7 linked regions of the Oryctolagus cuniculus genome follow. The protein of the gene in region 7 interacts with the protein of the main gene of each other region in a biochemical or structural test. Links are inferred from orthologs where the notes say so. Each region holds a gene or a part of one and is shown on either strand. Other genes may lie near its edges. The genes, in order: UBR5, OTUB1, RNF4, PJA2, PCNA, TRIM32 and ubiquitin-conjugating enzyme E2 D3.

Region 1 (3,660 bases), on a different chromosome or scaffold from region 7:
TGCCCAGGAGATAGAATTAACATCAATAATTGTTAGTTATTATTAATACTATTTTATCAATCTACATTCTTGATTCAAATTACTTTAGCAAGTTAGAGCAAAGTTTTAAGCCAAGATTCAATAGCTCAAATATTTATGATGTTTTTATGTATACAAAAACTTAAATTTTTAGCATACACCAATACAGAAAAAGCTGGGAAACCTATTTTATGGATTAAATACCTGACAAAGCAAATCAATAACAGTGCTGGAATTCCTTTCTTTCACAAGGCAAAAATTTCTGACATTTCCATTATTTTAGTGTAATATTCCAAAGTAATGTATATCTGAAAATCTAGATGCTGGGAAAACTGTGCATTTAAAAATGTTATAGTGATGGGGTCAACACGGTGGCATGGTAAACTAAGCCTTGGCCTATGGTGCAGGCATTCCACAGGGGCACTGCTTTGTGTCCCGGATGCTCTACTTCCAAACCAGCTCTCTGCTTATGACCTGGGAAAGCAGTGGAAGATGGCCCAAGTGCTCAGATCCCTGCACCTGTGAGGGAGACCTGGAAGAAGCTCCTGGCTCCTGGCTTTGGATCGGCCCAGCTCTGGCACTTGCAGCCATTTGGGAAGTGAACCAGCAGATGAAGACCTTTCTCTTTCTCCCCTTCTCTCTGCAACTCTAACTCTCAAATAAATGAAAACTTAAAAAAAAATTAACAACAAAAATGTTATACTGCAAAGACTTTTACTATCTTACCTCAAGGCAGTTTCTGTCTACTGTAACTTCCATTAAGCATTTCCCACTATTGGCAGATGAAGAATAAAGACCCTGACTCGGACGGCCAAAAAGATCCTCCTTTCTTGCATTTGGCTGGAATTTTAACAGAAACATTCTCACTACATTCAGTATTTAAAAGAAAATACAGTCAATTAGAAAAAACTTTAAAACTAGTTTGTTCATTCGATCCACCTGCAACAGATGTGGCTGATCAGCCAAGGGAATGGCTTCAGCTAGAGGCACTTCAAAGGGATTTGGGGGTATACACCCAAGGAACGTCATAGAGTCAGAACGTCGGAAAAATGGATGGTTTTGACCAGTTTCTGCAGGAAGAGAGTCATCATCCTTATCATTCAAAGTAGCACCTAAACAAAGAAAGAGAGATAAAATGTTTGAAAAAGTTAATTATTACGGAAGCATAAAGGAATCTATTCAACCCAAATATTCCTTTCTTCTTTCTAAAATTTTAATACCACCCCAAAACAAGCTAATAGTATACATTCGGACAATATTTTTCAAGTATTAATTCAAAATATAGCAACTTAATGTTGTAATGATAAATTTTACATGTAAAATGTATGTTATATGCATCTTGCAATGCTTAAAAAATGTAAAACAAACAAAAAAGCAGTAACATATATTCCATGCTTTATCAGACAGGTTTCCCATATCCTCTTCTTCATCTCTATAGACTCAAACGAGAGCGAGGGTCCTCACTGCTCATGCCAAAAGCAGGAGATGGCCAGGAACTACCATCTGAGCACTGGCTCACCACAGAAAACAAACAGAACTTTCTGGGCAAATCAGACCCCACCAGTAAGCAAGCAAGCTCCCACCAACTCTCCTGAATGCAAGGATTTTGGGCAGGAGTTAGCGTGCAGGCAGACCAGCAGTGAACTAAATGGCTGAGTTCTCAACCAAGAGCGGTTAGGGCAGTTCTTCCCCAAGGCTGACTAAAAGTCCCACATGTTTTAAAGACCTTTACACCCCAACTGACGTAATAGCTGAGAACTAGGAGTACCTACAGGGGATTACAAAATCTCATGGTATTAAAACTTCGGAAGAAAAATCTGGAGTGTGGAATATTTTCTCTCCTCTCATCACATTAACAGCTTTGAATATTTGGGAGTTATAACCGGTATTTCTCAACTTCTTAAAGAACTCTATTGTGCATCAATATTAATAAAGGCTTCTCTAAGACTTTATTTAAATTTGGTTCCTACATACTTTACTTATGAGTAAAGGTAAACATAAAACTAACAGAAACACAAAAGATGAAGTAGCAGGGCCAGTGCTGTGGCACAGAGAGTAAAAGCCCCAGCCTGCAGTACTGGCATCCGTATGGGCACTGGTTTGCATCCCAGCTGCTCCAGTTCTGAGCTAGCTCCCTGCTAACGAGCGTGAGAAAGCAGTGGAAGATGGCTCAAGTCCTTGGGCCCCTACACCAACGTGGGAGACCCGGAATAAGCTCCTGGCTCCTGGTTTCAGATCAGCTCAGCTCCAACAGTTGCAGTCATTTGCAGAGGGAGTCAGTGGTTGGAATACCTCTCTCTCTCTCACTGTCTCTACCTCTCTAACTCTCTCAAATAAATAAAATAAAAAGAGGAATTCCTCTCATTTAAAAAAAAATGAAGTAGCAAAAAACATCAACTGTTGAAAAGTTTGCAACATTTAATTCATCTTTAGTTATGAAATATATAATGTAAGAATATATAAGGAAAATGGATAGAAAAGGTAAGAAATGGGATATAGAGAAGAAAAGAGAAATTCCCACCCAGACAGAAAACAATGAAGTTAAAAAGCTTGGAGGGGAAATACTGAGGCAGCCATTTCTTGAAGTAGATTAGCAGATTTTCGTGCACTAACTTTGATTGGTGTCATCATCATTTTCATGTTCTGAATCTTCATTATCAATACCCAGTTCCAAGAGCTCTCGTGTCCTTTAAAAGACAAATGAGTCATTTTACATGGAGAATTTGTGTAATATGAATAGGAGGAAAGGTAAGGAGAATTACCAGCAAAAACAAAACAAAACAAAACAAAAACAAACACAAAAAACCCACAGAAATGGTCATCTAAGTAAGTATCTTACCAATTTAAAAGATTGTTACCAAAGAGTTGCAGACTCTGGGAATGGTACTCATGTGGTACAATACAAAATGGAGTCAACAGAAGCAAAAACCAAAAATCATCCAAGAAATAGTGAGTGCCTACATTCACTATAATAGAAACATGATAATCAGGCCAAACTACCTCGAACATGAAGTTTAACCAACTCTTAGGCTTTCCGTTCTACATGGACTACTATAACTGACAGAAAAAGGCAGAATATACTCAGACTAACTTTCCCACATGAAAATGTTCCTGCACTACTTTCTTTGCAATGCTGTTCTCCTTATTCCAAAAGCTGACAATATAATAATGGAGACACACCCATCAAGGATGTCTTAAATCAACACGGTAGGGGCTGGTATTGTGGTGTAGCAGGCAAGGTTACTGCACGTGACAACAACATCCCATATGGGCACCAAAAAAATATCCTGGCTGCTTCACTTCCGATCCAGCTCCCTGCTAACGTGCCTGGGAAAGTAGCAAAGGTTGGACCAAGTGCTTCAGCCCCTGCACCCACGTGGGAGACCCAGAGGAGCTCCTGGCTTGATCCTGATCTCGATCTAAAAAAAAAAGAAATCACAAGTATAGCCACCTTTTGCGTTCCAGCTGAGGTGTATCCAATGTTGTCTGCTGGTTCATTGCTTTAATCCAATAGATAAGGGCTTGGAAGACATAGGCCACATGCTTTAATGAGCAAACATCCAGAACTGGAAGAACATCTGAGTGCTCGTCGTTATGTGACCGCATGAGAGAGAGCGCATAATTCAGAAAGTCTCCTCGAGC
Region 2 (4,440 bases), on a different chromosome or scaffold from region 7:
CCCTCTGCACCAACTCCTCTCCCTGCTGGCGTACACCCGTCGGCACAGGGACACACGGCCAGCCCCATCGGTGCAGGGACACACGGCCAGTCCCGGTCGGCGCAGGGACATACGGCCAGTCCCGGTTGCGCAGGGACACACGGCCAGTCCCGGTTGCGCAGGGACACACAGGCAGCCCTCACTTCAGAAGGCCGGAAGCCCGAGTCCTCTCCCTCTCTACGGCAGAATTTTGGAAAGCGGCCAGGTGCACGGTCCCCGTGCTCTCCCACACAGGAGGCACCTGCTCCAGCCAAGGTCACAAACCCCGGGCAGCACTGCCCCCGGGGTCACCAGGTCCGGGTCCTTAATGACCCCACGGGTCCTTGTCGCCCCTGAACTCCAGGCAGACCCTCCTCACCCCTCCACCCTCCGAAGGTCAAGGCCACCACCAAACCACACTGCACCTTTCCTCAGTATTCCTGGGTCACCTCACATACCCACACGGGCGCCTGCCAGGGAACGCAGGCCACGCATGGTGCAGCAGGTGCCCCACGCGGCTTCCAGCAACAAGCTACGCTCACGCTCACGACAGCATCGAGCCCAAGTTCAACAGCCCCAAATGTAAACCCACGCGATGTCCGCCCTCCACTCCAGCTGAGTCTCACGTCCAGCTACCTCCCCCTTGCCTCAGAGCCCGGGCATCTTGGCCTACAGGGCCGGGGTGTGACCGCGCAGCCTCGCCCCACCCAGGCTTCCCGGTGTCCATCTGGGCCTCACCCACATCCAATACCAGCAGAGCCTCTGAGCACCCTAAATACCCAATCACTTCCCACGACACTCAAATACCCGCCCTAAACACCCAATCACTTCCTATGACACTCAAGTACATGCCGAGTGACCTGGAGCCCACCCCGTTGATTTCTACGGGAGACAGTGGGACAGGCAGCCTGGAGATGCGGCCCGGGGACACGCCCCTCCGCACGGGACTGGCGCTGCGGGGCGCTGGCCAGCACCACCCTCAGCCCGCAGCTGCCCCTCGAGGGAGAAGGCCCCTCCTCCCAGAGACCGACAGCAGCAGGAAGCCGCAGGGGTCTGCTGCCGCAGCGTGGCTCCCCTCCCCGCAGGCCCCCCAGGGACGGCCACGTGTCCACCACAGACCACACGTGGACTCTTACTCAGCTGCCCACCGCCGCAGGGGGACCTCACTATTTCTGGCTCCCCTTGGCAAACTGGAGCTGCCCCAGGGCAGAGGAGGGGCGGACACTCGCTCTCGCTGCAAGGCTGCCACTGCCCACGACGGGAGGGGGGCCCCGCTGTCCACGTGGCCAGGCCACCTGCGCCCACAGGCCTCTCCTCGGGTGAAGGCTCCAAGCATCCCCGGTTCACTGTGGGGAGACGTTCACTACACCTCCACACCCGTCACGCTCTGCTCTCAGAACGCGGGAGGGGAGGGGCTGGCCCTGGCTGGTGACACCCACAGCCACCCACCTCAGCAGATCCAGGAGGCGGGCTGAGGGGCAGCCTCAGCCGTGGGGAGGCCCCGCCCAGCACACACCTGGCCGCACACAGGCCTCAGGACCTGCCCAGGACACCGCTGCTGAGGGGCGGGACCTGCATCTGGCTCAAGGTCTCTGGGCCAGAGCCGGCACACCTCCAGAACCGCCCCCCCCAGGGCACAGGCCCGGCAAGCCCCAGTCCTGGCCCTGCGGCCGGTGCCCACCTTGATCTTCTGTTGGTAGATGTTGTCGTCCTCCGCGTACTCCTTGTACAAGACCGAGAGTTCCAGCCGTTCGGACACCAGGGGGTTGTGCACTGCGATCTGCGGGGGGCAACACAGCCAGGACGCTGGAGCAGGGGCAGAGGGCTGGGCTGGGTACCCAGTAACGCGGGACAGAGCACCGTGCAGTGCCGCCCAGCCCGAGGAGGAGGGCGCTCCGAGGGAGAGACAACTCAGACCGGCCGGCCCTCGCCCAAGACCGGGTCACCGGCCTCTGCCCCCCCCGCTGAACGCCCCTCACCTCTTGCTGAATCCGGTCCTGCTGGGCCATGATGGCTTCATCGTAGGCCAGACAGTTAACACCTGGAAGAGGCCGAGGAGCCGGGGATGACTGGGCGTCCTGGCCCCTCCGCTGCGGACAGCTGGGCCAGGGATGCGCAGCTGGCGGCAGGGGCAGGCGTCCCACGCCCTTCTCCTCCCGAGCTGTGCCCAACTGGGAGAAATCCTTCCTCATCTTTAAAATGAGAGGAAGAGAGGAAGAGGCGACCAGCCCAGGGTCCGCTGTCCCGCCCGGCACCGGCCCAGGGTCCGCTGTCCCAGCCCAGCACCGGCCCAGGGTCCGCTGTCCCAGCCCGGCACCTGCCCAGGGTCCGCTGTCCCAGCCCGGCACCGGCCCAGGGTCCGCTGTCCCAGCCCGGCACCGGCCCAGGGTCCGCTGTCCCAGCCCGGCACCGGCCCAGGGTCCGCTGTCCCGCCCGGCACCGGCCCAGGGTCCACTGTCCCGCCCGGCACCGGCCCAGGGTCCACTGTCCCGCCCGGCACCGGCCCAGGGTCCACTGTCCCAGCCCAGCACCGGCCCAGGGTCCACTGTCCCGCCCGGCACCGGCCCAGGGTCCACTGTCCCAGCCCAGCACCGGCCCAGGGTCCGCTGTCCCGCCCGGCACCGGCCCAGGGTCCACTGTCCCAGCTGGCACTGCCTTCCTCCCTGCTGTCCATCAGCACTGGCCTGCCCAGGAATGCTCGGGGGCAGGGCGAGGTCTCCTGGGGGGAAAGCAGGGGGCTGCGGGCAGAGCTTCCTGGGGGCCTGCACTTCCGCATCCTCCCACGGTACCCCTGATGGTGCCCATTTTCCAAAGAGCAAAACAAAGGCAGAGGGGTGAAGTCATCCTGGCAAGTAGAGACCTGCGGTCACGCCCACGTGTGTCCAATGCCCAGCGAGCCCCGCTCTGCTCCGCCACCTCGCCGCCGAGCCCCGGGCGCCCCAAGTGCTGCATCGGGGGGGGGGGTACCTTGGCGTGCTCTAGGAGCAGGGCCCCCTCTCTGCAGAAGTCCCATGCGCAGGGCTCGCGAAACCTGGATTCGGATCCTGGCTCGCTCTTAAATTCTGTGACCCTGAACAAGTCACTGCTGGGGCCTGGGCTTGCCGGTTCTCCGTGCCGGTGAGCGCTGAGCGACTTCTTGCAGGGTTAACGCAGCTGGGCCCCGGCCCGTGCCCTGCGCGGCTCTGCATCCGCCGCCACCCCCACCCCCCACCCCCAATGCCCAGCTCGGTCCCCGGGGCCCAGCGCCCGGACGGAAAAGGAGGCGGGTGGGGCCACTTCCAAGGCACCCACGTCCTCAGGGGTCTAAGAAAACAATGGGCGGGCGGAGAGAGGCGGCCAGGCCAGAAGAGGGGGCTCTACCGGAAACGGCCGAAGTCCGAAGGGGCGGACGCCCACGGCCCCTCCGGGGCCAGCGCCGCCCACAACACCGCACCCGGCCGAGCCGGCCCTCCACGCTGCTCGACGCCTCTCGGCCGTGAGCGAACGCCGGCGCCGCGGTCCGGGCCTAGGCCTCGGCCGGCCCGACGGGGGCCCCGGCCCGGGAGCCCGGCGCGGAGGGCGGGGCGGCCCAGGCCCCGCCCCGGGCGCGCGCCGGCGGCCAGGCCGCGAGACTGCCCGCCCCGCCCGGCCGGGGGTCGCGGAGGGAGCGCCTTCCATTGTGAGGGGGCAGGGAGGCGCGGAGGCAGCGGCCGTCCGCGCGTCGCGGCCGCCCCGGCCGCCCCGCCTCCGCCGCCTTCCCCGAGAACAGCCGGCCCGGCCTTGCCGCCGCGGGCCCGGGCCGGACACCCCTCCCGCGGTCCGCACCTTCGGAGTCGCTGCCCAGCGGCTCCTGCTTCTGCTGCTGAGGTTCCTCCGCCGCCATCTTTAAACAGCGCCGCACCGCCGAGCGCTTCCGGGTTACAGCCGCCCTCCTCCCGGAAGCGAGTCCCGCCTGGCGGCCCCTCCTTGGCAACGGCCCTAGCAACGGGGTCCCCGCGGGCGGTGGCCGCGGCGGCGCAGGTGCGGGGCCCCTCGGGAGCCGGCCGCCCGTAGCCGCGCCTCCGCGTGCTCGGCTCTCCCAGCCCCCGAGTTCCGCGGCGTGGCCGCGAGCCTCCTGCAGCCGACTCAGCTTTCTCTGGGGCTGGAACTGCGGGCTGCGTGATGGAGACCCGTAGGACGAGTTCAGCTACAATCACTGCAGGCTCCTCCAGCTGCGGGCGCCGGCACCCCTTGCAGGCGGCTGCAGCTGCAGTGCCGAGCGCTGGCGAGGGCACCGGGAGCCGGCCGCACCGCCGTCCCCACCGTGGCTTTGGCGACCTGCTGCCCCCAGGGACGGCGTCCCCCTTGGTGTCCCGGCTGTGGGAAAGCGGTCGTTACACGCGAGGGCTTAATAGGACAATCGAGAGTGGCTGGGGGGTTAGGAGAGGGGCTGGAGGCACGTGA
Region 3 (4,129 bases), on a different chromosome or scaffold from region 7:
CTGCGTGTGTCTCCAGTCTGTGCCATCTCTCTGGATCCTGCGTGTGTCTCCAGTCTGTCTCATCTCTCTGGATCCTGCGTGTGCCTCCAGTCTGTGCCATCTCTCTGGATCCTGCGTGTGTCTCCAGTCTGTGCCATCTCTCTGGATCCTGCGTGTGTCTCCAGTCTGTCCCATCTCTCTGGATCCTGCACGTGTCTCCAGTCTGTCTCATCTCTCTGGATCCTGCGTGTGCCTCCAGTCTGTGCCATCTCTCTGGATCCTGCGTGTGTCTCCAGTCTGTGCCATCTCTCTGGATCCTGCGTGTGCCTCCAGTCTGTCTCATCTCTCTGGATCCTGCATGTGTCTCCAGTCTGTCTCATCTCTCTGGATCCTGCGTGTGCCTCCAGTCTGTGCCATCTCTCTGGATCCTGCGTGTGTCTCCAGTCTGTCCCATCTCTCTGGATCCTGCACGTGTCTCCAGTCTGTCTCATCTCTCTGGATCCTGCGTGTGCCTCCAGTCTGTGCCATCTCTCTGGATCCTGCGTGTGTCTCCAGTCTGTGCCATCTCTCTGGATCCTGCGTGTGCCTCCAGTCTGTCTCATCTCTCTGGATCCTGCATGTGTCTCCAGTCTGTCTCATCTCTCTGGATCCTGCGTGTGTCTCCAGTCTGTGCCATCTCTCTGGATCCTGCGTGTGTCTCCAGTCTGTGCCATCTCTCTGGATCCTGCGTGTGTCTCCAGTCTGTCTCATCTCTCTGGATCCTGCGTGTGCCTCCAGTCTGTCTCATCTCTCTGGATCCTGCGTGTGTCTCCAGTCTGTCTCATCTCTCTGGATCCTGCGTGTGTCTCCAGTCTGTCTCATCTCTCTGGATCCTGCGTGTGTCTCCAGTCTGTCCCATCTCTCGGGATCCTGCGTGTGTCTCCAGTCTGTCCCATCTCTTGCCACACTTCCTGCACAGTCTGTACTTCAGTGTCAGGGACTTTCTGGGTCTCTCAGCCCTTAGCTCCAGGAGAGGCACCACATTCCTATTTTGTTCACTGTTGTAATCCACTACTGTTTGCTTCAAAACTGTGCTCAGAATATTAAAGTGTGTCTTCTGAAAGAGGGTGAAAAATCCTACTTATTTTATGTATTAAGAACAGATACATGGGGGCCAGCGCTGTAGCGTAGCAGGTAAAGCCGCAGCCTGCAGTGCAGGCATCCCATACGGCCACCGGTTTGAGTCCTGGCTGCTCTACTCCCCATGCAGCTCTCTGCTGTGGCCTGGGAAAGCAGTAGAGGATGGCCCAAGTGCTTGGGCCCTGCACCCGTGTGGGAGACCCGGAAGAAGCTCCTGGCTCCTGGCTTTGGAACAGTGCAGCTCCGGCCGTTGTAGCCATCTGGGGAGTGAACCAGCAGATGGAAGACCTCTATCTCTCTACCTCTCCTCTCTCTCTGTAATTCTACCAAGTGAATAAATAAATCTTTAAAAAAAAAAAAGAACAGATATATGTACAGTACACAAAGGACATACCATAGGAGCCAGCACTCTGGTGTAGCAGTTTCAGCCTCCCAAATGGAAGCCACTGGAATCCCAGCTGCTGCACTTCCAATCCCAAGCCCTGCTAATGCGCCCGGGAAGCAGATGGCCCCAGTGCTTGGGCCCTGGGCCGCCTTGGGAGACTCAGATAAAGCTCCTGGCTTCCACCCAGCCCAGCCCTGGTTACGGCGGCCATTTGGGGAGTGAACCAACAGATGAAGATCTGTCTCTCCCTTTCTCTACAGATGTTCACAGAATAAAAACCAGACACACAGTATGCCCATATACGCGGCCCTAACGTCATGGCGGCGAGCAGTCGGGACCCTCTTAAGCGTCATTAGTGAGGTTCCGGGTCAGGACTGGAAGGTCAAGTTCAAGCAACACAACGACCCCAAACTCACAAGCAAAACCGACCCAGAGCAAAAAAATCCCCTTCAACGCCGCCGCCTCCCACGGCCACACGGCCCGCACTCCGGGTCCCGCAGCTAGAACTCGGCTCCACCGTGCGACCGCGGGCCGCCCGCCTCACCCCCCAGGACCCCGGCACGGCTGCGCAGGCCGAGACCCCGAGCGTCCGCGGGCGCCGCAGGAAGACAAAAGCTGCATCCCGCAGGCGCGGCTCGCCCAGGCTCGGCCCTCCCCGCCCGAGGTGGACGCTGGTGGGCGCCCGGGGGTCCGCCGCGGGCTCCTACACGGGCCTCCGGGGCGGCGGCCACACGCTGCACCCGGAAGCGCGGGCTCCCCGGTTCCAGGCCCCGCGCCCAGCCGAGCCGAGCAGCGCGCCCGCCACGCGGCCAGGCGTTCCGGCGAGCTCGCGGGCCCCCGACGGCGGGCGGCGGCGCCAGCACAAAGGAGGACACGAGCCTTCACTGCCTCCCCGCCGCCGGCAGGCCCGGGCGCCTCTCCCGTGACCTTGGGCGCCCCGGCCCGAGCCTCAGTTTCCCTCTCGGAGTTCCGAGCCCGGTCGTGCGGCCGCGCCGGGGGAGCCCCCTAGACCTCCTCTCCCGCGCCCAGCGAGGCTCGGGACGCCGGCGCAGGCGGCGGGGCGGGTGGGCAGAGGCGGCCCGAAGTCCCGGCAGGCCCGGCCGGCCACGGGGCCCGCAGCGGGTCGCGCCGCGCTGGGCGGCCGCCGGAGGCGCGGACGCCGAGGCCTGGACAGGCCGCGCGAACGCGGCGTCTGCTGGGCCCGGCCGCCGCTCCCTCCCCGAGGAGCGGGCCTTACTCGGAGCTGCTCCGGTCCGGGAGGCACCGCCGCCACTGTCCTGGAGCGAGGAAGCACCTCTAAGCCGCTGAGGAGAAGCCCCCGAGCCAGGCGCCGCCGCCTCCACAGCAGTCCACTTCCGCTCCCGAGGCCCAGGCCCCGCCCCCCGCGCGTCCCCAGTGGCCGCCGCCTCCCCTTCGCCCGCGGCTGCCGGGGAAGGAGCCCTGTTTCCAATTCTATTGGATAAGGAAGACGTCCATTACCACTTTGAACCGCGTCGCTTCCGGCCCCGCCCACGCTCGCGCGCCTCAGCCCCCGCATTCCCGCGAGAGAGCTTGTCCGCGCCGCGCCGCCTGCAAGGCCTGTCGGGAGTTGTAGTCTGAGGGTGGTCCGAGCGCTTGGCCCGCGGCAGCTGCCCGCCGACCCCCGGTGACCCGCTCTCCGGAGCCGAGGGGGCTCCGAACGGTCCCGGTCCTGCGCTGCCACCCCGCACAGCAGCCACCATGGCGCTAACTTACGAGGCCGGCCGGCGACGTCAAGCTGGACGTTGGTCCAGACCAGACGTTGCGCCCAGCTCCCCGGGCCTGTTTCCTTGCCTGTTAACGAGACCTTGGAGAGGAATATTCCCGGGGCACGAGCTGGAAGCCGGGCCTGGATCAGCGCCGCCTGGTACCAGGCCCTGGACGGGGCGGGGCGGTCACCGTCCCCGCGAGGACCGGGCCCAGTCCCCACTGGCGAGCCCAGAGGGGCCCTAAACCGGCTTGTCTGGGAGGGCTGTCCAGAGGAAGCGAGCTTGGGGCCAAGAGCCGGAGTACCGGGCGGAAGAAGCAGAGAGTTGGGCAGGAAGCAGGGAGCTGGGTGTCCCGCAGCCTGGGGAGGGGAGTCAGGGTGTCAGGGGCCGGGTGGGCAGGAGGGGTGGGCGAGGGCCCGCAGGGAAGGCACCCCAGGACCGGCCTGGAGAAAGGTGTCCTCCCAGCCCCGGGCGCGGGCGGAGCCCTGGATGCCTCCTGCGGGCATCTGAGCCCCCGGGTCTCAGCCTGCCCTCACCTGTGATCCCCACACCGCCCTGGCAGGTGTGAGCCCCGCGGAGCTCCAGGCCCTGCGCTGGAGCCGGGCCTGTGATGCTGAGGCTGGCTGGACCCCTGAGTCCCAGCCCCGGCTCTTCCTTCCTAAACTTCGCTCTGAGTTGAGGCAGTGGGCACTTATCTCCCCTGCAGATAGCATCTGGACCCTAGGTCTGGCCTTGAGGGATTTTCTTTCCAGGAACTACTATGAGGGGTGGACAGGCAGGTGGGAGGTTAGGTCAGTACCCACAGGCATTTTGTCAAGGCTACACAGAATTATCATCCCTGCCTTCTGACTAGCTGTCACGCTGTTCCTCCACCTCTGGTTAGGTCTAGGTCTGGTTTTCAGAAAGGGGCCAGAGAGCC
Region 4 (4,346 bases), on a different chromosome or scaffold from region 7:
CGTTGTTTTCCTACAGCCCCTCTCACACACACAGAAGCTAATTTCTGACTTCCCACCTATCACTGTGAGCCTCAGCTGCTGCGCTTCTCATCCAGTTCCCTGCTAACGCTCCTGGGAAGGAGGCGGTGGATGGAGCTCCTGGCTCCTGGCTTCCCTCTGACCCAGACCTGGCTGTGAAGGGCGTTTGCAGAGTAAACCAAGCAAATGGAAGCTCACTCTCTCTTCCCCCTCTCTCTGTAGCTCAGCCTTTCACATAAATAAAACAAGCAAACTTTTCTTTAAAAATACATTTATTTAAAGAAAATAATAAATAAAAGTGGAAATCTCAGAAACCCCGCCCACCCAAGGAAACTAGTGTTTTCAAGCAATCCAAGATCCCACCGGGAAATTAGGAAATACAATGACAACATGAATTCTTTCTCAAGTTGTGAAGGAGCTGGGTAGAAAAAGACTCCAAGCTCACAGAGCAGCACGTGCGAAGGCAGAGTTAAGTACCAAGTGGGGAACGGGTTCTTGCAAAGATACTCACAGGTACTCCAACGGCTGCGCTGGGAATCAGACTTGCTGCCACAAAACACGCAGCAAGTTCCCACAAAACCAACTTTCTACAGTAAATTACGGATGATTTGTTTCCATCAACAAACTAGCGTCAGGTCCCTAACAGGGGCTGTCACAGGGCTGGAGGCGCGGGGCGTAGGGAAGCGATCGACCCATCCCGAGCGCCGCGGCCAGGGGCAGGGGGAGCGGACGCGCAGGTGCGTTTCAGGGCGGCGACGCGTGGCCGAGTGCGGGACGAAGCGGCGCTCGGCATCGCGGGCGTAGCCAGTTACCCAGGTCTAAGCGAAGCCAGGCGTCCGGGGACTACCGCGGGCACTGCGGCCACGGCTTAGCAGGGACCAGGCGGGTCTCCCCCAGCAGGGGCAGGGCCTGAACTTCCGCCAGGTTCCCAGTCGAATCAGGACCGACCCGACGGCTCCATCTTGGCGGCCGCTCCCGGAATTCGTGATAAAGTCCTCACTGCGCCAGCCCTGCCCTCCACACCCCCCTGAGCTTTCCCGGAGACCCGCCCTCTCCCAGCCCGCACCACAAAAGGCTGTGCCGCTTCAGCACCGCCCCCTGCCCAAACGTCGCAGTGCTGCGGGGCAAGGAGGCGGAGTCGGGCGCCGTCTTCCCGCTCCTCGACCAATCGGCGAGGGCCCCCCCCCCACGAAAAACAAGACGCTGAAGACAGTGCGAGTATTTTTCCCTTTTTCTGCCACGTCCCAACCATTGACGCGAGCCCACTCCTCAGGCTCCCATTGGGCGTGCGCGTTCAGCCCCCGGCAGAGGCTCCTGATTCCTATTGGCCGGCTAGAGCTCGGGGGCGGGGTCCGCGCGCCGTGCTCCGCCTCCTCCTCCTCCCCACCGTGTCCGCCGCCGCGCAAGGGGCGGGACGCGCCGCCGCCACCTCTGCTTCCGCCGCCGCCGCTACCGCCGCCGCGCCGCCGCCGCCGCCGCCGCCGCCGTGCCGCCGCCGCAGCCGCCTGCTGCTGCGCGTTCGGCGGGGGAGGAGTCGGAGGCGGAGAAGAAGGCGGTGGTGGCGGGTGGAGGATCGAGCGCTGTTCTCGCTCCGGAGCCGCTGCACATTTCGGTGAGGGGCTTTTTTTTTTTTCTCCTCTCCTCTTTTTTTTTTTTTTTTTTTTTTTCTTTTTAAAATCGGGCTTGTTCGGATGTCAGCAGTGTGGGGGTCGGGGCGAGGAAATGGCTGCCTTCATCTGCCGTTCTTGCCTCTCTGGAGCAGGAGCGGGGCCTGTCCCCGGCCCGCAGCGCCGGCCATGGTGGGTGGGGTTGATGGCTGGGAAGAGGCCTTCCTCGCCTCCTGGGCCCTGTCCGCGCCGGGCCGGGGGCCCCGCGGACGCCGCGTCCCCGACGGATGGCAGCCCTCGGCGTGGTGGTGGTGGTGGTGGTGGTGGTGGTGGTGGGGTCTCCGCCGGCCGCTCTTCCTCGGGCCTCGTCTGCTGTCCTTGGTGCCCCGGCCAAGGACCCCGCCGCCCTTGTCCCCACGCTCGCGGCCGGGCGAGTGCGCCGCCCGCCAACGCCTCCCACCCGCCTGCGGTGCCCACCGGGCGAGCCGGGCCCCTGACGCCGCAGGCCTGCGGCCCCCTCCCCCCGAAACCTGCCGTGGCCGTTGCCGGCCGGCTGCGTGTGCGTGCTTCCCGACGGTCACGGAGGCCCCGGGCGCAGACACGCCGTGGGCAGCGTAGCCGTCGGGGTCCCCCGGTCCCGGGAGCCCCTTGCCTGGGCGCCGCTGCCCGGGAGCGCGCCTCCGGCGGGCCGCCGCACCGCCGGTGCTGGCCTCCCCGGGACGACTGCTAGTTAATCATTTTGCGCACTTCCAAAATGGTGAGTTTAAAGCCGCTCAGACCCAGTCGAAGAGAGGGGGAGGCGGTCCGATAGTGTTTTTGCAGGGTGCAAGAATAATCGGGGAGGTTTCCCTGGCTTAGACGTAACAGAAAAATTACATCTGCATAGGCACTGCTCTGAGTCCGCTGGTTCTGCGAAGTTGACGTTTTTCTTAAAAAAAAAAAAAAAAAAAGGTTCACTCCATTCTGTTATTTTTATCATGAAATGTTTGGTCCCGCTTCTTTAAAATGGCAGTCACCTTTGCTAAAGGCTGCAGATCAGCTGAAGAGTATGTAAATAAAAGCTAAGATAACAGAAATAAAGGTCTCAACTTTTTTTCGACTTTTGTCGTTTGTCTGGAATTGGTTTTCAATTGTGAAATAACCACTTCATTTCTGTTGTTAATTACAGATGTGCAAGCTTGGTGTACAGTCTGAGATGTAAATAAAGGACTCTTAGGTGAAATGTGAAAAATTCTTCTCCTCCCCCAGTCTCACTCCAGTAACTGGACTTAACAGTTTACTGTTAATCTTTCAAAATTTCTTTTACAAATGCACTTTGAAACACGTGGACATCAGACATGCACAGTGCGTTGGCCTTTTTTCTTGAAGTGGGAGTATATCCAGCACTTTTGTCCATCAGTCGTTTTTTTCACCTGATTGTACATCTTGGCCGAGAGTTTCCTGGTCGTGTGTGGCTCTCTCCTAAAGGCTTGGAGAGGAAGTGGTAGTTCATCAGCCAATGGGCTGTTACTCAAGCAGCCAGCTTCTTATTGGAAGACGTTTAAGTTAATTGCAGTTTCCTTTTTCAGTCACAAATAATGGCTTATAATGAAGTCCACTTTCTGATTTATTGCTTGATGTTTAATGACCTCCCTTAGAGCCTTGATTTACAAATTTTCAAGTGTGGAGGCCTGGAAGGTAAGAAGCACACCTCCCACTTCTTGTCCTACCTGGCATCCTAAGAGTAGTCCCTGAGAACAAGTCAGCAAACTTCCTGTGTGAGCTGATTTCTGGAGCATGGATTCCTAGGAACGGAATTACTTAATTAAAGGGTGGGCATATTTAAATTTTTGATAACCATTTATCTGTCATCTTTTGAAAATATTTTCTGCTTAAGCTTTTTCTCCTACTAGACAAACTTCAGACTCAAGTAAAAAGTATCCTGGGCTATATTGTATGATGTTGTATTGAACTTTTAGATTAATTTAGAGAGAGCTGACCTTTACAGTATGAGTCTGTCCCCTTGGAAGAGGTGTTCTCTCCATTTTATCCACGTGTTCCTTCATATTCTTAGGGAATACAAAATTTTATAGTTTATCTTTTGCCTTACATATGACATTCTGAATATTCCTAAATGTTTTGTAGTTTTGATTGTTGTGGTAGATGGTTCAATAACATTTTTCTTCTGGTTATAGGAAAGTATTTGAATTCCTAAGTTTATCATGTAGCTAATCATTTTATTGGGTTGATGATGATTTGAAAATCTTTACTGTTTCGTGGTTTCCTTTCCAGTGTTGATAACCTAATGAATTTCCCTCATTGCTTTATCAATCATAGCTACTATCTAATGTTAATAATAGCACTAGTAGTGAAGCATTGGGTGTTCCTGACTTGAAGGGGAATGCTTCTGTTTCAGCTTTTATTAGGGTGTTTGCTGAAGCTTTCTGATCAGTAGCCAGTATTAAAAAATTTCCTTCTATTCTTGGCTTTCCAACATGACTCTACTGTTTTCATTTTATTAATGTTTTTGATAACCATAAATAGGTATTGAGTTTTCTTGGATATTTTTGACAATTTTTGTGGGGAGTCACCACAAAAAAATACTGGTGTCACCAGTATTATCTGGTTAATATTTTTCTAAGAGAGGTTAAATTAACCTTGAGGCTACCTTCAATACAATAAAATATACTTATTTGGAAGTAGAGCTCATTTTGTTTGGATAAATGTGTGCTCATGTCACTA
Region 5 (4,276 bases), on a different chromosome or scaffold from region 7:
AAATTTTGAAGATCCCTTAATGGGATCACTTGCAGATTTCAAATAGTAGCAATATTTTCAATTTTCACAAGTAACCTGGAATGCATTTTTATTTTTACCTTTCATAATTAACCTAATTTGTTGGACATTACAATTCTCCAAAATATTTGAGAAATGCTAAATCTAACTTTACTACTTACAGCTTCCTCTTCTTTATCAACATTGCTCGTTTGTGACAACTTAATGTTTCCATTTCCCAGTTCTCCACTGGCGGAAAACTTCACCCCATCTTTTGCACAGGATATTACAACGGCATCTCCAATATGGCTGAGGTCTCGGCATATACGTGCAAATTCACCAGAAGGCATTTTTACTACACAGCTGTACTCTTGTTCCTATAAAACAAACTTAACATTAACTGCTGGAAATCTGACATCCTCACTCTTAAGCAAACGTCTAAACTCAGATCTCAGGTTTTTCTGATTTCTTTAAAACATTACTAGAGACCAGTATTGTGGCACAGCAGGTTAAACTCATTTGCAGACACAGGCAGCCCACACTGTAATGCCAGTTCAAATACAAGCTGCCCTGCTTCTGATGCAGCTTCCTGCTAATAATGTACCTGGGAAAGCAGCAAACGATGACCCAAGTGTTTGGGCCTCTTTTACCCTTGTGGGAGACCTAGAGGGAATGCCAGGTTCCTGGTTTTGGCCTGGGCCAGGCCTAGGTATTGCAGCCATTTAGGGAGTGAACTAGTGAATGGAAGATCTCTTTTCATCTGTTTGCCACTTTGCTTCTCAAATCTTTAATTAAAAACTGGTTAGTATATGACTCACACTCCAACTAAAAGTAGTATGGCATAATAATCATACAAGAACCTCTTAATGATCCTCCAGAGCCAAATCAAGAGGATATTAGGGTTTCGAACAGTAGTGATGGGGCAGACTTAAAAGTGAAAACACATTATGCATTTTACATTTTAAACATTCCCAACAGCTGTTCTCATTTAATGGTGATAAGCCCACCCTTAATTAAAAAAAAGACGCACAGAGGCTAATGCAAGTAAGCACTCCACAGCAAAAAATGAATTCACCCCACAGTCAGTTTTAGGCTGCTACAGTTTAGTAAAATGACAACTGTCATACAAATATACAAATCTTGCTTTGAAAAAAAAAAAAGAAAATCTAGATATATAGGCAGTAGGCATTAGGTTATATTAACACATCTTAAGTAACTGATGACTATGTGCAATCAGAAGCTGATACTCACTGGAATTCCAAGCTGTTCAACATCTAAGTCCATTAATTTCATTTCATAGTCTGAAACTTTCTCTTGATCTACGAAAAGAAAGCAAATGTTAAGAAAAATGTTTTATAATCATGATGTAAATTTTTACGACCATCACAAAAAATTTAAAATTCTCACAGCTGAGAATCAAGAGAGATTTTAGTTCCCTATAGCATAACTCAGTACAAGGTTATGACTTACTTGGTGCTTCAAATACTAGCGCCAAGGTGTCCGCATTATCTTCAGCCCTCAGTGTAATGATGTCTTCGTTGCCGGCACATTTTAGTATTTTGGACATGCTACAACACACAAGATACGGTTTGCAATCAACACCATCTGCTCTAAATCTAGATTCCGAGCGCAATCAGGAGCTACCATGCCCACCCCTCAGGCTGTGTGATAGACAGGTGAGGGGAAACTGGCTGGAGGCTGGGTTCAGGGGTCCAGCACCATTCAGGAAGGCAACCCGGTCCTACTAATACTTAACACCGGAACACACCAGCAATTTCAGCTCTGGGTGTAACACATAAACAGCAGTATTTTGTGCACTGTAAATCCCTCCAGTGGGTTTAGTAAATTAGTGGGCCACGACGACCGTTATTAAGTGAGCTAACAAACCTGAAACACGCCCCACGCACTAGGAGTTATTTCTCTCGAGCCTTTTAAAACTTAACCGTATACACGGACCAGACAGGGAGCAGTCAGGAAGCTGAAAGCCAATGCCCCGGGGAAATGTCCCCAGGACAAATCCAGTTTAGGATGCTCAGTGCGACCGTGTAATAAAGACCCAGAAACATCATGTGGCCCAAGAAGGGTGACACAGAGCCACACGTTGCCACGAGAGCACGTAACAACGCAGTGCGAGTCAACACGACCACAGGTTTCCCCATTCCGGGCTGCAGAGCGCTCCGCGACAGGCGTTTTCCCGCCACCACTCGCTTTTGTGACGTTGGCGCGGAAAAGAGCCGGTTCGCGCGGCGGCCAGCGCGGGCTTTTCGGAACCGCGCGCTCCCCAGGGTCCCGCCTCCCGCCGTGGCAGGCCAATGAGAAGGCGCCGGTGGCCCACCCCAGCCAATGAGGGCCCGCCTCGAAGGCGCTCCCGCCAAGAGCCGGGGATGGCGGTGGGCCAGAGCCCCGGGCTTACCTGGTGAGGTTCACGCCCATGGCCAGGTTGCGGTCGCAGCGGTACGTGTCGAAGCCCTCGGAGCGCAGGGTGAGCTGCACCAGGGAGACGTGGGACGAGTCCATGCTTTGCAGGTTCACGCCGCCCGAGCTGATGTCCCAGCAGGCCTCGTTGATGAGATCCTTGAGTGCCTCCAGCACCTTCTTCAGGATGGAGCCCTGGACCAGGCGTGCCTCAAACATGGTGGCGGGGTCGCAGTGTCGCGGCTGCAGGCGAGTAAAGGAGAAAGTTCTGGCTGAAACTTCTTCGCGAGGCTCAGGACGAGCGGACGAATACAGCGGCGTGTACCCAAGACCCCCCGAAAGACGACGACTGGTTCGCAGCGCCGGCTACCGTTTAATGCCGCCGCGTCTGTAAGCGCGCGCTCTCCGCCCCTGCGCCCCGTGTTAAGGCGTCACGACGCTTCCCCGCCCACCGGCTGGGCGGAAGGGATCCTGAGGACCAATCGTGTTCCTGCTCCGCGCAAAGCCCGCCCCCGAAAGGCAGTCATTGGAGGCTGCTGAAGCGGGGGCGGGGCAGGCGCACAGCGCGCCTTCGGAGGCCGACAGGGTGACGCACTGCCAGCCGCCCCGCGTTTTTCTTAGTTCCTGGGGCGGACGCCAGACATGTCTGGGCGACGAAGCACCGGGTGACCGTCGAGCTTGGTGCGCTGTGTTGGTTTCTAAGCCTCTCGCTTTGAGGGGAGAATCACTGGCTCCCAGCACACACATACCAAGATCATATAATCTCTCAACTGTTTGCTGTCTACAGTTTTCTACACTTTCTTCTATAAAAAGATATTTAAAAAGAAATACGTTCACGTTCCAACAGAGTATGTCACGAACATCTTTTCGGTATTTACTTAATAAAGGTTCCGTAACGTCCCATGTATGCGACCTAATGACCAATTCCTGTTATTAAGAACACCTTTGGGCATTTGGGTGCTTTTGTGAGTTCAACTCCCTGAAGTAGCAGTGATGAATGAAGAGTATACTCATTCAGATAAATTACTAGTTGGCTTCTAAAGATCGTGTGTGTAAGCGTGCTCATCTCCTATGTTTTCTTGACTACAGATACTGAAAGTCTCATTTTTAAATCCGTGCTCAGTTGTGTGAAAAGTTTAGTGTTACAGATCGGTATCTTTCAAATGCTTGTATTTCTTGACGATGTGTGTGTGTGTGTGTGTGTGTGTTTAAGAGTTATTTATTTGAAAGGCAGAGTTATAGAGGCAGAGGCTGAGAGAGAGGTCTTCCATCCACTGATTCATTCCCCAGATGGCCACAACGGCTGGAGCTGCGCCAATCCAAAGCCAGGAGCCAGGAGCTTCTGGGTCTCCCATGCCAGTGCAGGGGCCCAAGGACTTGGATCATCTTTTACTACCTTCTCATGCCACAGCAGAGAACTGTATCAGAAGTGGAGCAGCCAGGACTCAAACTGGCGCCCATATGGGATGCTGGCACTTTAGGCCACAGCTTTACCCCCTTTGCCACAGCTCTGGCCCCAGATAGAAGATTTTATTTTAGGGGTCAATACTGTAGCATAGTGAGTAAAGCCGCTCCATGCAGTGCTGGCATCCCATATGGGCGACCCGGCTGCTCCACTTCCGATCCAGCTTTCTGCTATGGCCTAGGAAAGCAGTGGAAGATGGCCCCAAATTCCTGGGCCCACACACACACATGGAAGACCTGGAAGAAGCTCCTGGCTCCTGGCTGTGTATTGGCCAGGCGCTGGATTGACCAAGCTCCAGCTGCTTGTGGCCATTTGCGGAGTAAATCAGCGGATGGAAGACCTCTCTCTCTTTCTCCCTGCCTCTGTCTCTATCACTCTGACTTTCAAGTAAATGAAAGG
Region 6 (4,143 bases), on a different chromosome or scaffold from region 7:
GTACTAGTCCCGGTTGCTCCTCTTTCAGTCCAGCTCTCTGCTGTGGCCCAGGAAGGCAGTGGAGGATGGCCCAAGTGCTCGGGCCCTGCACCCGCATGGGAGACCTGGAGGAAGCACCTGGCTATTGGCTTCGGATCGGCACAGCGTGCCAGCCATAGCAGTCATTTGGGGGGTGAACCAACAGAAGGAAGACCTTTCTCTCTGTCTCTCTCTCTCACTGTCTAACTCTGCCTGTCAAAAAAAAAAAAAAAAAAAAAAAAAAAGTGACAAGACAAGTACTTGTCCAAAGTCACAGAAAATTAGCAGAGTAAGGAGTCTGGACTTCTAGCCTCTGATTCCCAGATGGACTGAATTCCCACTATACATTTTCCCAAGCACTGTATGTGGGTATTTTAGTTATGTCTCTTGCCCTGGACCCAGTCCAGCTTTGTTTCTGAGCTGGCTTCAGCAATGCTGTAGGTAGTCCTAAAGCTATACCAGGGGAAAGAAACTTAAAAGAGATCACTCATAACAGTAATTATTTTCCTGCAGGAGGGCTGCCTTAAGCCTCAGTACCTGCTGGAAGGTGTTTTTGTCAAGTCCAAGTCAGTGGCCTCCATACCTCAGACTCTGGTTCCCTGTACATCCATCCTGCTACCTTCAAGTTCCTCTCCCTATCTACCCACTGGTCATGGTCTAAAAGCAAACCAAGTACAAAGATTAGGGATCCTCCATACCTAATCAGAGATAGTTTAGCCTCATCCGTTACCACCCTACCTTTAGAATTCAATTTGATATGCAGTGTACTCACTGGGCAATCTTCCTTTTTAGTAGTGGGGAATGGGCCAAGTAAGTAAGACTAAGCAGGCCCACACAAGGAAGAAAGAAGCAAAGAGAAAATGTACAGTTACAGAGATCTGGATGTTAGTTTAACTTTTACCCAGTCTAGCTAAAAAACCTTAAGTAAGCCACTTCTTAAGTCTTAGTTCCTTCATATGTAAAACTTATATTCAGGAAACTGTTATTAAAACTAAGGAAATGTATACACAAACCAAAAACTACTGAATTCTAAGCACTTACTATGTACTTCACACTATGTATACCTTCACTGAATCTTCAATATATGATGACATAGGTCCTGTTATACTCATTTTACAGACCAAGAGCCAAGGCACTGGGAGGTTAAGGTATTCACTCAAGACCACACAGTTAAGAGATACAGCCAGGATTTGAACGCAGAATATTGACTACAGAACAGTCACTCAGTTTTAGCACTATTAACATTTTGGCCTGGATAATTCTGTTGGGGGCTGTCCCATGCATTATCAGATGTTAACAGCATCCCCAGTGTCTACCCACTACTGACCATCCCAGCTGTGACAAAGATGTCTCCAGACATTGCCAAATGTCCCCTGGGGACAAAACTGCCCCTCATGAAGACTACTTCTTTAGAGTCTAGCAAAGGACCAAAAGTTCAATATAAAAGAGTTTTCCTTTTATTGTTTCTCTCCCATTCCAAACAGTTCTTTTGCAAAGCCACTGCCTCTTCAAGCTATAATGGACCTTACACAGGATGAATTCCACTCATTTCCCTGGAGTTTTCATATTGTCATTCACAACTTGGGGATACAAGGAAAGGAAAGCTTAGGCACATGACCTTGTCATTTTCTGCTTCATCACCCCTTTGATCACTCTTCTTCCTACCAATGTTAGCAAGTCAAAGTAGAGATAGTGGCAGCACCATGCCTGCCTCATCAGGGAACTCTGGCTAATAACTGAGGAAAATTCTGCCCCTCACAAGAAAAGTAAAAGCACCTTCATGACCTACGAAGGCTCATGACTGTTCCTCAATTTCATACATTTATATAATTTCTTTTGGACGCTCAGGTGCCCAGAACACCCTCTGCTTCCCGTGCAGGGAGTTTAGGAAAAAAAAAAAAAATCCTTCAGTAGCCCAACACCAGCCCACAAATCTACTCAAAGTCTTTTAATTCATGACATCGCCTCTCACCCCTCCCCCCTTTCAATCCTCTTAAAACCCTGTTCCCAACCATCTTGCTATACAGAATTGCAACCTTTTGGGCTCTATATTGCAACCCGCACCGATTCTTCCTTCCTGTGCCCCATATCCCCCTGACAGTCTTTAATCCGTGTTTCCAAAGCTCTGGAGCCTTCAGCCCTGCACCCCGATTTCTGTCATCGTTTCACCTGAATCTCATCTCCTGCATTCCACCAGGCACTGTGCGGTCCCCAAACCCCGCTACGTTCTTTCTTACCTAAATCTTGTCTCTTGTGTTGCTTTCAAACCTTAGCCTAGCCCCCTTCCTTTTGCTAACAAGATACTGCTTGTCCCCAAGAACTCACCTCCTCCATTTCCCCCAGATAGCGCTCTGCAAATTCCTTTCTCTTTAGCAGTTAGGTTCGCCCTACACCTTCTCCTTCCAATCTTAGATCTTGGCCCCCGCCCGGTTCCCTCAAATCTCCTGAGATCCTCAAATCTCACCAGGGCCCTGTGTCCTTCCTGTTTTTGCAATTCTACACCCAGACCCCTCCAGCACCTCAGATTCCCTCCCATTTATCAGACGTTGCACCCCCTGTCTCCTCAAGGGTCCCACATTACCTCATATCTCCCGAGATGCTGCAACTGCGAATCTTCTCAGAGCCCCTGGCTCCCCTCCCCCAGCTAGCTACATCTCCTCGCAACTCCTCACCCCCACCGAATTTCTCCCGAGACTGCCCCTCACAGCCCCACCCCCACCCAGGTTTTGCCCTCAGATCCGGTACCCACACCCTGCCAGTTGGCTGCGGGCCTCCAACGCGGCCGCTCAGCCACCGCCCGCGACTCAGACCACGATCCTTCCTCCCCCTACCCTCCTTCCCGCCCCCTACCTGACCGCCCGCGCCTCCGACGCGTCCGCCGCCGGCAGCCCACCGCTCGCCGGTTTCTGCGCACGCGCGGCGCGTGCTACTCTTGTGAGGCAGCAATTCGCAGAGCGACCTGTCCGTCATTTCGCCCCCACCTCCCCCGGGGCATGCTGGGATTTGTGGTCCAGCCAGTGCGAGCGCCCGGGCTGGGTATATCCTCCGTGACTAGCTCTTTACCGAAAAACGGTGGCACTTAGCAACTCAAAATACTTTTCTGGTGTCTTTGAATGGGTTAGAAAGCTGAGGCCCACGGGCGAAAGGCGCCTTCCCAAGTTCACTCAACTATTTGGGAGCTAAGCCAGAACTCACTTGTTTGATTCCAGTCTCAAAGTCTAAACCTCTGCACTAAACCATGCCCTGCATGAGTGGTCCTCTGCAAAGCCTTTGCACTCCTCAGAAAGGCCTTTCTGAACCTCGGTTGCCTCATCTGAAAAATGGACAAAGAAAGACTAAAACTTGCATTCTGCGCAAGCACAGAACCTGCCCACCTCAGAGTGCAGCGCCCCGGGCAAACCTCTGACTCACCGCACCAGCTGCTGGAGGAAGTTTTACCTAATCAGATTATTCTCGGTAAAACCTTTTGCCTCTCCAGCCTACAGCACAGGTTGTCCCTGCAGACTGAAGCTACCTAGGAGCCCAAATCAGAGTCTAGCTTTTGCGGGGTGGGGAGACTTACCAGGTGGTCTGTGGTCCCCTCTACTGGAGTGACCTATAGTCCCTGAGGTCACGACTGTACTGGGTAGTTTAGGAGCACAAAGGAGTGTGAAGTAGGATAGGATTGCATTTGAAATTCCACTTAGCTGTGTTACCCTGAACAATGATAAAACAGCAAACAAAAATGGTACCAAAACATCTTGGAGCACTTCTTGTCTGCCTGCATCTGACATACCTGGCTCCTTTAATACTTATAAGGATTTTCTGAGATAGGCAGTTGATGCCTAGGTGATTCAATAGCAAAGCCACTTGTTCCTAAGTTTCAGAGCCCAGATTTGAATACAATTCAGAAACCACTTTTTTTTTTTTAATTATTTACTAGAAAGACAAGAGTGATGGAGGGACAGAAAGATCTCCCATCTGCTGGGTCACTTGCTACATGGTAACAACCAAAGGCAGAAGCCTAGACCTCTATGAGGGTCTCCTATGTGGGCGTCAGCGACCTGAGTACTTGAGCCACCTCCTCTGCCTTTCCAGGCACACTGGCAGGGAACTGGATCAGAGGCAGAGCAGCAAGGACTCAAA
Region 7 (3,972 bases):
TCTTTTCTAATGCAGGCGCCACCCTGCATCACTTTTACTCAATAAATTCTGATGAGAATGGAAACACAGCAGATGATCTCAAACAGAACAGGGAACTTCTCATGGAATTATTTCAGGATGTTAACATGGAAGACTCTTAACTGCAATCAAACAGATATGACTGTTATAAATTCATTTCCACCACTTTTACATAGAGTAACCCTGACAAATTGATTCCTTAGACTCTTTGAACCTCACCTTCCTCTTCTGCAATATGAAGATGATGGTAGTGTACATGCTGTATGACTGTTGTGAGGATTAAATCAAACACCCTATGTTAAATGCCACAGTGCCAAGCCCACAATATGGATTCAGTAAGTACCAGCTATTATTGTAATCCCTGTTAGAAGGGTGATGATACGTCATAGGACTTCAAAATATCTTACAGCAAGCTGGTTCTTTCTGGCTTATAATCAAGCAATTTCACCACCTATGCAGGAGATGATTTGTAGTTGGTGCATGTAAGAATTGAAATGAAAATAAATCTAAACAAAATGTGCTATTAGAGCTCATTCATCTGTCTTTTAGAATTTTCGTTGCTTCAGGGAAAACTAAATGGAAGAGGATGGCTAAGGAATCCTCCTTTGTTACTTGTATGAGTTAATGCATCTAACAGGAGGCTGGTTCTTAGTGCCAACATCTTGGTAATGCTTTGATAACCCCTCATGTGCTGAAAAAGTCAGGATGTTTGGTCCTGGTGGAGAGACTGGCAATGACTGAATCGAGCTCCTCAATATTGTTAATTTGGCAGCTAATATTGGCAAGTCTCTCAGTTTTATAGAACTAATTTTCTTCCACTGTAAATGGGCACTCATTATTTATGTCTGGTCAAGGATTCTGAGTGTTCTAAGATCTCTATATTTCAGGCCCTAATTCCTGAATAAGCTGAAAGACTGATTGGTGCATACAAAATGCCTTTGTCAAATCTTGTTTATCTCTGCGGGTCACATTAGATGTTGTGACTATTTCTCATGCTGGTATAGCTTGATCCAGTTTCTGGCTCATTACATTTGTTTCCTTACGCCAATAATTTTTCTCTCACAGCTGAAATGCTCTATTTGCTTCCACCTCACACCATTCTTGGCCAAATTTTCAGGGAATGAATAAGGTTGTGATATAGATCTCAAGTCTGCCACAGGCACCCAACTTCCAGGCAGGAAAGGAAAACAATGAATGTAGAAGAAAGAAATATGACTGCAGCAAGAGAAGGTAGAAACTGAATTTATCCATCTTCCTTTGCTTTCTCACAATGGAGCCCTTTGTGAAGTTAACTGCTGTTAAAAACAAATTGTCATGAAAAGAGACTCAGAAGGTAGGAAGACAAAGATCAATTAGAAAGCATACCGATTCAGTAGTATGATAAGCTAAATATTTGGAGAAATTTACTCAATATAAAATTCCTATCAAACTAAAACTCCACAGCATTTTTAACCAATATTCAAGAGTGAAGATGAAATTAAGATATTTTCGAGCCGTCCACGTCGTTCTCGCGATACCCGCCGCCTCCATACCAAGCGCCTGTGTCTGGCAGAGCCGGCGTGAGACCAAGAGACAATCCTTCCCCGCCGCCCGGATAATCAAGAGTTTTGGCCGGACCTCTGAGCATACACCGAGAGAGGGAGAGAGGAGCCAGACTAAAAGCACAGACTATGGCGCTGAAACGGATTAATAAGGAACTTAGTGATTTGGCCCGTGACCCTCCAGCACAATGTTCTGCAGGTCCAGTTGGGGATGATATGTTTCACTGGCAAGCCACAATTATGGGACCTAATGACAGCCCATATCAAGGCGGTGTATTCTTTTTGACAATTCATTTTCCTACAGACTACCCCTTCAAACCACCTAAGGTTGCATTTACAACAAGAATTTATCATCCAAATATTAACAGTAATGGCAGCATTTGTCTCGATATTCTAAGATCACAGTGGTCTCCTGCTTTAACTATTTCTAAAGTTCTTTTATCCATTTGTTCACTGCTATGTGATCCAAACCCAGATGACCCCCTAGTGCCAGAGATTGCACGGATCTATAAAACAGACAGAGATAAGTACAACAGAATATCTCGGGAATGGACTCAGAAGTATGCCATGTGATGCTACCTTAAAGTCAGAATAACCTGCATTATAGCTGGAATAAACTTTAAATTACTGTTCCTTTTTTGATTTTCTTATCCGGCTGCTCCCCTATCAGACCTCATCTTTTTTAATTTTATTTTTTGTTTACCTCCCTCCATTCATTCACATGCTCATCTGAGAAGACTTAAGTTCTTCCAGCTTTGGACAATAACTGCTTTTAGAAACTGTAAAGTAGTTACAAGAGAACAGTTGCCCAAGATTCAGAATTTTTTAAAAAAATGGAGCATGTGTATTATGTGGCCAATGTCTTCACTCTAACTTGGTTATGAGACTAAAACCATTCCTCACTGCTCTAACATGCTGAAGAAATCATCTGAGAGGGAGGGAGATGGATGCTCAGTTGTCACATCAAAGGAAGCAGCATTATTCTAGCAGCATCCATTCTTGTTTAAGCCTTCCACTGTTAGAGATTTGAGGTTACATGATATACTTTATGCTCATAACTGATGTGGCTGGAGAATTGGTATTGAATTTATAGCATCAGCAGAACAGAAAATGTGATGTATTTTATGCATGTCAATAAAGGAATGACCTGTTCTTGTTCTACAGAGAATGGAAATTGAAAGTCAAACACCCTTTGTATTCCAAAATAGGGTCTCAAACATTTTGTAATTTTCATTTAAATTGTTAGGAGGCTTGGAGCTATTAGTTAATCTATCTTCCAATACACTGTTTAATATAGCACTGAATAAATGATGCAAGTTGTCAATGGATGAGTGATCAACTAATAGCTCTGCTAGTAATTGATTTATTTTTCTTCAATAAAGTTGCATAAACCAATGAGTTAGCTGCCTGGATTAATCAGTATAGGAAACAATCTTTTGTAAATGCAAAGCTGTTTTTTGTATATACTGTTGGGATTTGCTTCATTGTTTGACATCAAATGATGATGTAAAGTTCAAAAGAATGAATATTTTGCCATGTTCAGTTAGAGTGCACAGTCTGTTACAGGTTGACACATTGCTTGACCTGATTTATGCAGAATTAATAAGCTATTCAGATAGTGTAGCTTTAATATGCTGCACCGTGATACTGGCAGCCCTGGAGTTCATAGATGGACTTGGGACCCAGCAGTTTTGAAGCGTGTATATGGAGTTTTAAGAAATTTATTTTCCAGGTGTAGCCCCATCTAACTAAAACTTATCTTCACCTTGTACACTTGACAGCTGATAAAAACATAACTTGGGAGTAATAATGGGTCAAAATTTACAAAATAAAGTACTGTTTTGGTGTGGGAGTTGTCATGAGGCTGTGTTGAAGTGACTTAACTATGTGGGATATTGAGTATCCATTGAAATGGATTTGTTCAGCCATTTACATTAATGAGCATTTAAAACAGATCATTTCAGGTGACTTAACATGAATGAATAAAATGCTATTGAAAAAAAAAAAAAGAAATTAAGATATTTTCAGACAAAGAGAAAATTTACCAACCACAGATACTCACTGGAAGAATAACTGAAAAAAATCTACTTCAGGTAGAAGATTAAAAGTATTATTAAACTCAATGGTTAAGTCCCCACTTCAGACACCTGTGTTCATATCAGAGTGTCTGGTTTGGAGTTACAGCTCCACTTTCAATTCCAGAAACCTGTTAATGCACACCTTAGGAAGCACTGGTGATGGCTCAAGGAGTTGGTCCCAGACTGAGTTCAAGGCTCTTGACTTTGGCCTCACCCAACGCTGAATGCTGTGGGCATCTGGAACGTGAACCAGCAGATAGAATATCTCTCCTGGTCTGACTGATATTCCCACTCTCTTTCTCTCTCTCAAATGAGTAAAAATAAATAAACTTAAG

The links.
Region 1: the proteins of ubiquitin-conjugating enzyme E2 D3 (region 7) and UBR5 form a complex in vitro, tested with the Homo sapiens proteins (4 studies listed by BioGRID). The link is inferred for Oryctolagus cuniculus from reciprocal best matches to the Homo sapiens genes UBE2D3 and UBR5.
Region 2: the proteins of ubiquitin-conjugating enzyme E2 D3 (region 7) and OTUB1 form a complex in vitro, tested with the Homo sapiens proteins (3 studies listed by BioGRID, with this or other methods). The link is inferred for Oryctolagus cuniculus from reciprocal best matches to the Homo sapiens genes UBE2D3 and OTUB1.
Region 3: the proteins of ubiquitin-conjugating enzyme E2 D3 (region 7) and RNF4 form a complex in vitro, tested with the Homo sapiens proteins (6 studies listed by BioGRID). The link is inferred for Oryctolagus cuniculus from reciprocal best matches to the Homo sapiens genes UBE2D3 and RNF4.
Region 4: the proteins of ubiquitin-conjugating enzyme E2 D3 (region 7) and PJA2 form a complex in vitro, tested with the Homo sapiens proteins (2 studies listed by BioGRID). The link is inferred for Oryctolagus cuniculus from reciprocal best matches to the Homo sapiens genes UBE2D3 and PJA2.
Region 5: of the proteins of ubiquitin-conjugating enzyme E2 D3 (region 7) and PCNA, one has a biochemical effect on the other in vitro, tested with the Homo sapiens proteins (3 studies listed by BioGRID). The link is inferred for Oryctolagus cuniculus from reciprocal best matches to the Homo sapiens genes UBE2D3 and PCNA.
Region 6: the proteins of ubiquitin-conjugating enzyme E2 D3 (region 7) and TRIM32 form a complex in vitro, tested with the Homo sapiens proteins (3 studies listed by BioGRID). The link is inferred for Oryctolagus cuniculus from reciprocal best matches to the Homo sapiens genes UBE2D3 and TRIM32.

The regions. Positions count from the first base shown.
Region 1 is NC_091437.1:127,607,124-127,610,783, forward strand, and holds part of UBR5 (E3 ubiquitin-protein ligase UBR5), read right to left. Parts: coding exon 3,470-3,660; intron 2,706-3,469; coding exon 2,632-2,705; intron 1,131-2,631; coding exon 958-1,130; intron 859-957; coding exon 745-858; intron 1-744. UniProt on the Homo sapiens protein: E3 ubiquitin-protein ligase involved in different protein quality control pathways in the cytoplasm and nucleus. Mainly acts as a ubiquitin chain elongator that extends pre-ubiquitinated substrates.
Region 2 is NC_091432.1:7,239,624-7,244,063, forward strand, and holds the start of OTUB1 (ubiquitin thioesterase OTUB1), read right to left. Parts: upstream 2,936-4,440; 5' UTR 2,795-2,935; coding exon 2,641-2,794; intron 2,060-2,640; coding exon 1,998-2,059; intron 1,799-1,997; coding exon 1,700-1,798; intron 1-1,699. UniProt on the Homo sapiens protein: Hydrolase that can specifically remove 'Lys-48'-linked conjugated ubiquitin from proteins and plays an important regulatory role at the level of protein turnover by preventing degradation.
Region 3 is NC_091433.1:1,253,909-1,258,037, reverse strand, and holds the start of RNF4 (E3 ubiquitin-protein ligase RNF4), read right to left. Parts: upstream 2,881-4,129; 5' UTR 2,721-2,880; intron 1-2,720. UniProt on the Homo sapiens protein: E3 ubiquitin-protein ligase which binds polysumoylated chains covalently attached to proteins and mediates 'Lys-6'-, 'Lys-11'-, 'Lys-48'- and 'Lys-63'-linked polyubiquitination of those substrates and their subsequent targeting to the proteasome for degradation.
Region 4 is NC_091445.1:32,043,374-32,047,719, reverse strand, and holds the start of PJA2 (E3 ubiquitin-protein ligase Praja-2), read left to right. Parts: upstream 1-1,461; 5' UTR 1,462-1,630; intron 1,631-2,261; exon of another isoform or gene 2,262-2,382; intron 2,383-4,346.
Region 5 is NC_091442.1:30,190,126-30,194,401, forward strand, and holds the start of PCNA (proliferating cell nuclear antigen), read right to left. Parts: upstream 2,872-4,276; 5' UTR 2,632-2,871; coding exon 2,411-2,631; intron 1,566-2,410; coding exon 1,468-1,565; intron 1,317-1,467; coding exon 1,249-1,316; intron 375-1,248; coding exon 180-374; intron 1-179. UniProt on the Homo sapiens protein: Auxiliary protein of DNA polymerase delta and epsilon, is involved in the control of eukaryotic DNA replication by increasing the polymerase's processibility during elongation of the leading strand.
Region 6 is NC_091432.1:220,201,223-220,205,365, reverse strand, and holds the start of TRIM32 (E3 ubiquitin-protein ligase TRIM32), read right to left. Parts: upstream 2,949-4,143; 5' UTR 2,869-2,948; intron 2,730-2,868; exon of another isoform or gene 2,600-2,729; intron 2,453-2,599; exon of another isoform or gene 2,344-2,452; intron 1-2,343. UniProt on the Homo sapiens protein: E3 ubiquitin ligase that plays a role in various biological processes including neural stem cell differentiation, innate immunity, inflammatory resonse and autophagy.
Region 7 is NC_091438.1:28,033,084-28,037,055, reverse strand, and holds ubiquitin-conjugating enzyme E2 D3, read left to right. Parts: upstream 1-1,515; 5' UTR 1,516-1,688; coding exon 1,689-2,132; 3' UTR 2,133-3,418; downstream 3,419-3,972. UniProt on the Homo sapiens protein: Accepts ubiquitin from the E1 complex and catalyzes its covalent attachment to other proteins. In vitro catalyzes 'Lys-11'-, as well as 'Lys-48'-linked polyubiquitination.